2 linked regions of the Arabidopsis thaliana genome follow. The protein of the gene in region 1 interacts with the protein of each later gene in a pairwise test. Each region holds a gene or a part of one and is shown in the gene's direction. Other genes may lie near its edges.

Region 1 (4,373 bases):
ATAATCCACTTGATCAAGTAAGCTTCCGCATTTTTTCGTCATGAAACTACCCACAAGCTACTTCCAAATGTTAACTGTTGTAAGTCAAACTCGATGTCTAGGTAATTCACAAAAGAAAGGTGGCTATGGCCAAGGCACAAGGCAAATCTTCCTTAGCCATTGAACATCTGAACAAGTATCTTGAAGTGTGAGTACTTACTAACCCCAAGCTGGACTGATAGAAAGTACTTTAGAAGAAATATATCAAACAGCTGATAACTTTTATATGCTCTTCTTTCTTATATAGATTCATGGCTGATCATGATGCCTGGAGAGAACTTGCAGAAATTTATGTTTCCTTGCAAATGTGCGTCTCTCTATCCTCTGTCCTCAGATTCTATTTGACAAACAATTAACTACTCAACGATTAACAAATGTTTTTCATTTTGAGGGTGCTCTCTTTATAACCCCTTTAAATTTATAATCTGTAACAGGTACAAGCAAGCAGCTTTCTGCTACGAGGAGCTCATACTAACTCAGCCTACTCTTCCATTGTACCACTTAGCATATGCCGATGTAAGTCCCATCTTTTATTTATTTGTTAAAAAAAAGTAAAAATTGTTCTCTGGCTTTGTTAAAGAAAAAAGTCAAATTTTGGCCATCACCAAGGAGCATCAAAATGTCTTAGTTTGTTTAAGACAATGTATCTAGTATGCATCCTATAATCAATTTTGTTGTTCCTTATATCTTACACTGGAAGTTCATTGTCATTCATATGTCTATTAATGTAGTAGCAATAGAAGAGCGAGCTATTTTCTGGAACTTTGCATTATTTGCACTGCACATATCAAACTCAAAACTGAGAATTCTAAAAGTTTGGCAGTTTTTTTTTTATATAGTTCGAAACTCTAAACTACAGCATTGATCATGTATGATTGTGTAATTAACGTAATTTTCATTTTGCGTTGCAATCGCCAAAATCAGGTTCTCTACACAATAGGTGGACTAGAAAACCTCATCGCAGCAAGAAAGTACTATGCAGCAACTATAGACTTGACAGGTGGTAAAAGCACAAGAGCACTTCTCGGAATATGCTTGGTATGAACCCTTTCTTCCTCACACCAGTTTAATCCACTTTGGTTATGCAAGTGACAAAATGACCGATACATGTTCTGTTTTTGAAATCAGTGTGGATCAGCAATCGCACAGATCTCAAAAGGCAGGAACAAAGAGGACAAGGACATGGCTGCACCAGAGCTTCAGTCTTTGGCTGCAACTGCATTGGAGCGAGAGTACAAGCAAAAAGCTCCCGCTAAGCTCAACCTCCTCACTTCTGCCTTGAGAAACTTGAAAATCGCTTAGTTCAAAGCACTAGAGCCCAAACAATTTTTTGGTATTTTGGTATTGTTTAAACTTTTTTACAGTCAGACTTTTGTTCATTCCTTTTCTTTTACCCTTATAATTTTTTTCTTATTCACTTGGCTATATTGTTGAATCACTGATACGGTTTACTAAGGTGTGTTTAATCAAATAATAAATTAAACTAATTCAATCTAAACGTTAAACGTTAATAATAAATTTGTGAAGTTTTAGCAAATCATGCAATTTATCTAACAATTAAATAAATATCTATATTTTTCACTAATTCATAAAATACAACTTCTCATATCCTAAAATCATGTATGGTATTTGTTTTTTAATTTCTTTTCACATATATATAGTATGGTTTTATAATCGATTTCAGACTCAAGTGGAAAAAAGAAATATTGGACACCTTAGTGGGCCATTAGATGCAAGTAAATACAACTTTAGGCTTAGTCCATTACTGGTAAATTTGAAGGCCCAAAACTTTGTTTATCCTGGGTGTGAAACTCAAACCCTAGAAGAAGACTTTAAATTGAAGAAGCGCCGTAGCAGCATTTTAGGTTAAAACTTATTGTTGATTCTTCTCTATTCGTCGTCGACCTATTTTCCTCAGCCATGGCCGTCGGGTACTTTTCTCTCAGATTATTGTCCTCTCATTTCTACTATCTCTGATTCGTATCATTAAAGTATTTGTCACTGATCTATGAGTTTGTTTACTGTAGGAAAAACAAGAGAATCTCTAAGGGTAGGAAGGGAGGAAAGAAGAAGGCGTAAGTTTTTCTGAATCTTATTTCTCTTGTTTTCCTTAACAATGTGTATGAATTAGTGGCCATGTTGAAGTATGAGAATATGAATCTTATCATTTGTGATTGATTGGTTGTTTTTGAAAATTGAATGTTGCAGTGTTGATCCTTTCTCCAAGAAAGATTGGTATGATGTTAAGGCTCCTTCAATCTTCACTCACAGGAATGTTGGAAAGACACTTGTTTCCAGAACTCAGGGTACCAAAGTAATGTTTCTGTCTCTCTCTTTATTACAATACATCCTCAAATTACTTCGCTGCTTATACTCTTCGTAGGATTAAGCTGATTTGTCTGATTCTTATGGTTCTTGATTGATTGTTACAGTTGTGTATCTTGTGTTATAATGTTACTATTCATTTTCTTATACATGTTGAGTGTAAAATGTTGTATTGGTGCCATGTACGGACTTTGAGACTGATGATGATGTCTGTTCTTACTCTTCCAGATTGCCTCAGAAGGCTTGAAACACAGAGTTTTTGAGGTTTCTCTTGCTGATCTTCAAGGTGATGAGGATAACGCTTACAGGAAGATCCGTCTCAGAGCTGAAGATGTCCAGGGCAGGAACGTTCTGTGCCAATTCTGGGTAAGGATAGTTTGTTGTAAACATTGATTTACATCAGTAATTCTGGTCATTGGTTAAAAAACCCAGATTATGGTTGTGGAGCTTGACTGTTTTTTTTAATCATCTTTAGGGCATGGACTTCACCACCGATAAACTTAGGTCATTGGTTAAGAAGTGGCAGACTTTGATTGAGGCTCATGTTGATGTTAAAACCACCGACAGTTACACTCTCAGGCTATTCTGTATCGCCTTCACCAAGAGACGTGCTAACCAGGTCAAGAGGACTTGCTACGCTCAATCCAGCCAAATCCGTCAGGTACGCACACATTCCCCTGCAATACTTGTAGTTAGGCCTGACTACAGAACTTGATCTCTTTCTCTTATTACTGAATCCTACTTTTGCAATCTTTGATCTGTTATTTCTGTTGAGCTCAGATGGTTCCTTTTGTCAATGATTCTTAATCTTCCTTGTTTGATTTCTCTCAAATTGTAAGTCTTAAAAATTCACATGTCTTTGTTGTGAATTCCTCAGATCCGCAGGAAGATGAGGGACATCATGGTTAGGGAAGCTTCCTCATGTGACCTTAAGGATCTTGTTGCTAAGTTCATTCCTGAAGCTATTGGCAGGGAGATTGAGAAGGCAACTCAGGGCATCTACCCTCTTCAGAATGTTTTCATCCGTAAAGTCAAGATCCTCAAGGCCCCTAAATTCGACCTTGGCAAGCTCATGGATGTGAGTGAAGAAAATGAACACTACATTTATTATGGTTCAATATCCATGTTATATATAAACTGAATGCTTGTGTTTAATTGGTGTAGGTTCACGGAGATTACTCAGCAGAAGATGTTGGTGTTAAGGTAGACAGGCCGGCTGATGAGATGGCTGTTGAGGAACCTACTGAAATCATCGGAGCTTAAGAAATCGAGAGATGTCTTTTTCTTCTAAACTTTAGCTTTTTGATGCTCTGTCGTTTCACACACTCTTTTGTTCCCGGTTTAATTTTGCTGTATTGATGACTTTTCTCAGTGTAAACTTGCGAGTTTTTGATAATTTATGGAACACCTTTTCTCTAAATTTGATTCAGTTCCTCATTAAGAAAAACAAATTTCATAGGCCACAAAAAGTCTTTTTATGTACACTAAACTTTAGTTTATTTAATTGTGTTGCGTTATAAACACTTAAGCCATCTTTATAAACATTTTGTGAATTTACAAGCCCCAGTTAACACAGTTTAAACGATAAACTTCGTTCAAAACTAAGTTTTATTCAATCTTGGAAAAATGTATCAGACTTTATTCATTGTAGTTTCAATTGAATAATACATAACTTTTTCTAATGATTTTGTTAATAATACTCCTTTCCGTAATATCAAGAATCTGATTTGTGGAGTTTGTTTGAAAGAATGAGTTAGCAACCAAGAGAGAACAAAATCGGAGCAGAGGAAGGAGACAAACAACACCACTACAAAACTTTCTTCAGTGAAAAACAAACACTAAAACATTATAAACTAGCAGAGCAAAACAGGTAACACACATTCACACCCTAAGCAAAAATCTTCCAATACATATATTTGTAATATATACCCACCAAAACTAGACTTGGAAATAACAAGATGAAAGTGAGATTAAGGTAGATCAAACAAAACCCATTCGAGCAACAGCAG
Region 2 (5,822 bases), on another chromosome or scaffold:
AGGGTTAATGGAAATGCGGAGAGAGCGATACACAAGAGAGTCAGTAAGCTTGTGGCTCTCTTTATGTAATTTTTACTGAGATCAATAGCAGATGGAGAAATACACACCACATATGACTTAGCAAGGCCTGTTAACGGCCCAAATGCAAGACCAATTCAAGTTTGTATTATTAGGTATTATTTATCTAATTAACGAAATATCAAATGAGGGCGTTTGGTCTAGTGGTATGATTCTCGCTTTGGGTGCGAGAGGTCCCGAGTTCGATTCTCGGAACGCCCCATTTGTATTTTTTATGTTCACACTCTTTTTGCCACTCTTTTTGCCAAATAGTCCATTTTTCCCAAAAGATCCATAACTTTAAGAACATGTAATCATTAACCAAAGTTAGTTATTCTTGGTGAATCTAGTTGACTTTGGGAGAGGAGAAAGAACCGATTTTAGTTATTCTTCCCCATTATTGAAGTCTAGTTCTCGGCCAAATATTCAACAACAAAAAATTGACTATTGTGAAAATTAGGCTTGTTTTGAAATAGGTCTAACTTAAGATATTAACCATAAATTCGGTTATTGTATTGTTGTTTGGTACAATGTAAACCGGTTACTAAACCGGAACACTCTACATATAAAGAGTGTTTCATGTAACAGAACAATTAAGAAGAATAACAAATTTTTCTCATCTTCTTCATTTCTCTGAATTCGTTCATCAACTATTATGGTATCAGAGTGATGGATCTCGAAGATTCATCCGATTCAACCTAAACTCTGAGTATCTTCGAGCTCTTGGATCTTCCAAACTCGTTGATTCTTTGTTTCTTCAATTTTCTACGTTTTCTGGAAAATTTCAGTTGTTTAGAGCTTCGTTGATCTTGCGATGGTTTCCGTAGAGAAATTGCGGCGTCGTACTAGAAGATCGAGCAAAACTTCAGCTGAGAAAACTCCAGATCGTGTTCAAGCTTCACCGATTCCACCGATTCCACCAATTTCGAATCCGTTTCAACAAAATTTCAATTCAAAACCATCGATCTATCCTTTACCACAGTTCGACTTCTCGGATGCTCATTATTCGCCATTCGCGCTCTCAAATGGTGAGTCCTGGGAATACACTTGTTTCTGAGGTACTTGATGGATCTAATTTCTCTTCTTGGAAGATTGCGATGTTTGTTTCTTTGAACGTTAAGAATAAGATTGCTTTTGTTGATGGAACTTTACCAAGACCTCCTGAATCTGATCCTAGCTTTAGAGTGTGGTCACGATGCAACAGTATGGTTAAATCTAGGATCCTTAATTCTGTTACAAAGCAGATCTATAAGAGTATACTTCGTTTCAATGATGCTGCAGAGATCTGGAAAGACTTGGATACTAGATTTCACATTACGAATTTGCCAAGGTCTTATCAGCTAACTCAGCAGATTTGGTCACTTCAAAGTTTTGCTTTCAATGATATCTCTTTCTCACCTTCGACTTTATGGTTACTATGTTCTCTAACGTCCTCTAGACAAGTGTTATCACAAAATACATGGATCATAGATAGTGGTGTTACTCATCATGTTTCTTATGATAGGAATATGTTTGAAAGCCTATCTGATGGTTTAAGATTAGTCCATTTCTAATTTTCTACTAAGATATATTTTTTCCAACTCAAAGTGAAAAAATTGCGAATAGTATAAATATACAATTGTTTATTAAATATTGATGTTCTTAATATTATTACATAAAAATAATTTTTTATATGTAATAGTATTTTTAGAAAATTTGGTTTCTCTTTTTTTTTTTAATAATAAAACTAAACAGTCTCTAAAAATTTATATTCGGTTTGCTTAATGTTAATTTTGTTGTTAACCAAAACTTCGCACCTCCCTTACTTATCCAATTATCAACATTTAATATTTGTTTACATTTATACAATTATCCAATTTATTTACAGCAATTTTTCCGAATTAGTATTCGACTGTTATTGGTGAAATTCGAGCTGGTTAATAATATTTATCAAAAATAAGTTTCTATAAATAAATCAAATTAAAAATGTTTCTTATTTTAAGTTTTTTGACCGTTCGCGTGTCATGTTACGACTACCGGCGTCTATGGAGAAATCACCGCAAAATTTATAGAGAGAGTAAAACGAAAGAGAAGAAAAAAAGGAAAACGAAAAAAAAACGTTTCTTTTTCCAGAGAGGTCTTAAGAGAGAGGAGAGAGAAAAGGCATCGCTTTGTATATAAGCTAAAGAAAAGCCAAAAAACAATCTAGAGGTTGGGAGAAGAAGAAGAAGAAAAGAGAAGAAGCTCTTGTTATCCCGGCGTTCTTAAAACAACGACGGCGACGGTGACGGCTAAGCGGAAGAGCTTTTGTTGCCAATGACGGACTCTTACGGCGCCGTCTCCGTCGACGTTGGAACAATCTATCTTGGTGGCAAGGTTTCATTCTTTAACCTTTGAACTCGGATCCGAATAAAGCTTTGATTTTTGTTTCTGGGTTTATCTTAAACTTGCTTAAATCTAATCTTTCTGTTGATTTGGGGAAGAACAGACATGTGGGCATTGTTAGATTCATTTGTTTTTGTAAAAAAAAGACTCATCTTTTGTTTGAATCAAATGTTCTTGGAGAAATTCTTTGCTTGTGGATTTGTGAAACTTCTTTTATTATTATGATTCATTTCCAGATGGGATTATTCTTGGGATCTTCTTCTTCTCTCTATTCAAAGATATCTTCTTCTTATTATTATTTTGTATTCCTTATTCTTTGTCTTATTGCCTTTTGATTTTTTTATCTTATAGAAAAAAGAAAAGAAAATGCCAGCTGTTTTTGTCTACCATTAACCTTTTGTTTAATAAGACTAATGCTTCTTTATTATCTCATTAAGACTCATATTAGCTCATCTTTTTTAAACTGTCATTCCCTTTTTATTAAAAAAAAACCACAATGATTAGAATTAGGCCATTTCTCTTTGGTTGTTGATGATCAAGTTTTTGGTTTTGTTTTTTTGCCCTTAAAAGTAGTAAAGCTGCACATGGAAAAGCTTTAACAGAGATGTTTTCTTTTTTGTGTGTGTGTTAATCAAAGCATTTCTTTTCCACCTAAAGTCAGTTGTCATATTCCTATCTTTAGTATACATTTACTAACGAGAAAATAGATTCATTGTTTACAAACACATGTTTTATGAATATGGAGTAGACAAATGGTATGGTTAAAAGTTTAGTTTTTTTCTGTTGGTTTCATGATCCGTTACTTTTGTTATAACTTGTTGGTTTCTTGTGTTCAGGAGCATCGTGTTAAAACTGCTAGTGGTGTTGTGTCTGTCATTGTCTATGGAGACAGAGAAAAGCCAGCATTGATTACTTATCCTGATTTAGCCCTAAACCGTAAGGCTAAAGAATCTCTATAGGCACTAATGTAATGGCTAAATTTATTAATGTTTTTGTTGTTTCTTCTTCAGATATGTCATGCTTCCAAGGGTTATTCTTCTGTCCTGAAGCAGCTTCATTGCTGCTTCATAACTTCTGCATTTACCATATCAGTCCACCTGGGCATGAGGTCCAATATTTTAGTTTCTCTTTTTTTAACTTGCCGTATGCTTTGCTTGACGTGATTACTTACTCACATGACTTCTCTGTTTTCTTGCAGTTAGGAGCTGCTCCAATTTGTCCTAATGATTCAGTCCCTTCTGCTGAAAACTTGGCAGATCAGATCCTTGAAGTTCTCAACTTTTTCGGGTAACGATGGAATCCCTTATTTTTGGCTTATTGAAGTTCTCAACTTTTGTTTTTCGGGTAACAATGTATAAGCTTTTTGTTCAGCCTTGGTGTTGTGATGTGTATGGGAGTGACTGCAGGTGCTTATATCCTCACCTTATTCGCGGTATGTTCCTATTTATTTTTCTCTTCTCATTGCCCATTGCTTCAGAAGAATACTGTGTTTATCATCTCTTCTATGTTTTAAAACTTTTCAGATGAAACATAGAGAACGGGTTCTTGGTTTGATTCTTGTCTCACCGTTATGCAAGGCGCCGTCTTGGTCTGAATGGTTTTACAACAAGGTTATCACAAACTTGTTATATTATTACGGAATGTGTGGAGTGGTAAAGGAATTTTTGCTTCAGAGATATTTTAGTAAGGTGTGTTCACTGCAGTTACCATTGCTCTCTCTCTGCACTTGTTGCATTTCCAGACTTCTCTTATTTAAACCGGTTGCAACTGCTTGCTACAGGAAGTCCGTGGTAACGTTGAGATTCCAGAGTCAGATATAGCACAAGCTTGCAGAAGAGTCAGTGTTTATCTCTTCTGTTGTTTTTCTGTTTCATCAATAGATTGATTTTACTGTATCAGTGATTCACACCTTGCACTTTTGGTGATTGTCTCAGCTGCTTGATGAAAGACAAGGCATAAACGTTTTGCGATTTCTTGACGCCATTGACCGGTAACACAACAAACACCTCGAAATCCTTTACCTTAGAAGCATTCATTCATTCATGGTGTCAAATATTGACTTTTCTTTAACTTTATGCAAACCAAACCTTTGCTCTTGCAGGAGACCTGACATCTCAAGTGGATTGAAGAAACTAAAATGCAGGACACTTATCTTCATCGGAGATCAATCTCCTTTCTACTCAGAAGCTGTTCACATGGCAGCAACTTTGGATAGAGGATACTGTGCTTTGGTTGAGGTTTGAGAAAACGAATCCTCATCCTTTGTACTTTACATATAAACACATGTTTGGTTTTCTTGCTACTAATAGATGTTTTCTTGGAAATATTATCAGGTTCAGGCTTGTGGTTCAATGGTAACAGAGGAGCAACCACATGCAATGTTGATCCCAATGGAATATTTCTTGATGGGTTACGGATTATACAGACCATCTCTTTTCTCCGAGAGCCCTAGAAGTCCACTTAGCCCTTCTTGTATTTCACCTGAGCTTCTCTCTCCTGAAAGCATGGGATTAAAGCTTAAGCCTATCAAAACCAGAATTTCGGCGGCTTAAGTGTGTGTGCACTACTGATTCATTGGTTCTAATTTTGCTGAGGAGAAGAAATCTTAGGGCTTTTGTAGATATAGAACAATACTAGGGAGATTTGAGAAGAAGAAGACGAAGAAGAAAAATTCAAGCCACCATCATATAACACATTCTTTTGTAGTCAGCCGACACGACAGTTCTCTTGTTAAGATGCCACAAAATGTTGTTTATTATTTCATTTTTTTATACATATGTAAAATGTTCTGTTCTTGTGACATTGTAACAATTGTTTTGTGACGAACTCTGCAGAAGCAAGTAATAAAATTCATTTTGCATTTTGTTTTTGGTTCTCTAATTGGCCTTACAAGCACATTGATTTCACCAAGTTAGAATCTGGTTTTTGCTTAATATTGATATTTAATGGTTTAACAGTCTTGATCCTGAACTATTTGGATCATCAGATTGAAACTTTTTAGTCTGAATTGAATTGTAAATGGAAATGGAGACCAATCCTTCTTTGCAGAAGCCGTAAGTTATATACTGATATAAGATACGCATAAGGATTAGTTGCGGTTGACGAAAACATAGTCCCTCATGAACCGGGGTAAAGGCGAAGAATGCTTCACTTAGTCTGAACAAGTTCAATGCTCCTCGATGTTTGTCAAGCCCGTAAAATGGATGCAGACAAGTGTAAATCCGAGCCAAACCCGAATACAAAGTAGAAGAAGTGTATAAACTCTTGGATAACTAATGATTGAATAATAACATCAAATTAAGGCCATTTCTTGTATTGAACATCGTAAGATGTTTTGTAAATTACAAATACAACAAAGCTCACTTACCTCAGCACCTCTCTATAAGCGAATGGTCAGAAAG

Evidence for each region. Proteins that work in one complex are often made in the same cells at the same time.
Region 2: the proteins of AT3G04840 (region 1) and NDL1 interact in a two-hybrid assay, tested with the Arabidopsis thaliana proteins (one large-scale study listed by BioGRID).

Annotation. Positions count from the first base shown.
Region 1 is NC_003074.8:1,327,792-1,332,164, forward strand, and holds AT3G04840 (Ribosomal protein S3Ae), read left to right. Parts: upstream 1-1,779; 5' UTR 1,780-1,959; coding exon 1,960-1,970; intron 1,971-2,066; coding exon 2,067-2,114; intron 2,115-2,247; coding exon 2,248-2,353; intron 2,354-2,592; coding exon 2,593-2,730; intron 2,731-2,839; coding exon 2,840-3,025; intron 3,026-3,241; coding exon 3,242-3,442; intron 3,443-3,528; coding exon 3,529-3,627; 3' UTR 3,628-3,851; downstream 3,852-4,373. Other genes in the region: AT3G04830 (Protein prenylyltransferase superfamily protein), read left to right, coding at 1-17, 102-187, 287-346, 474-555, 964-1,077, 1,168-1,341.
Region 2 is NC_003076.8:22,955,634-22,961,455, forward strand, and holds NDL1 (N-MYC downregulated-like 1), read left to right. Parts: upstream 1-1,995; 5' UTR 1,996-2,352; coding exon 2,353-2,412; intron 2,413-2,875; exon of another isoform or gene 2,876-3,173; coding exon of another isoform or gene 3,174-3,176; intron 3,177-3,257; coding exon 3,258-3,357; intron 3,358-3,431; coding exon 3,432-3,529; intron 3,530-3,619; coding exon 3,620-3,708; intron 3,709-3,792; coding exon 3,793-3,853; intron 3,854-3,944; coding exon 3,945-4,109; intron 4,110-4,201; coding exon 4,202-4,258; intron 4,259-4,355; coding exon 4,356-4,411; intron 4,412-4,522; coding exon 4,523-4,658; intron 4,659-4,754; coding exon 4,755-4,973; 3' UTR 4,974-5,283; downstream 5,284-5,822. UniProt on the Arabidopsis thaliana protein: Interacts with the heterotrimeric G protein beta subunit GB1 and plays an significant role in GB1-dependent regulation of lateral root formation. Involved in a signaling pathway that modulates root auxin transport and auxin gradients.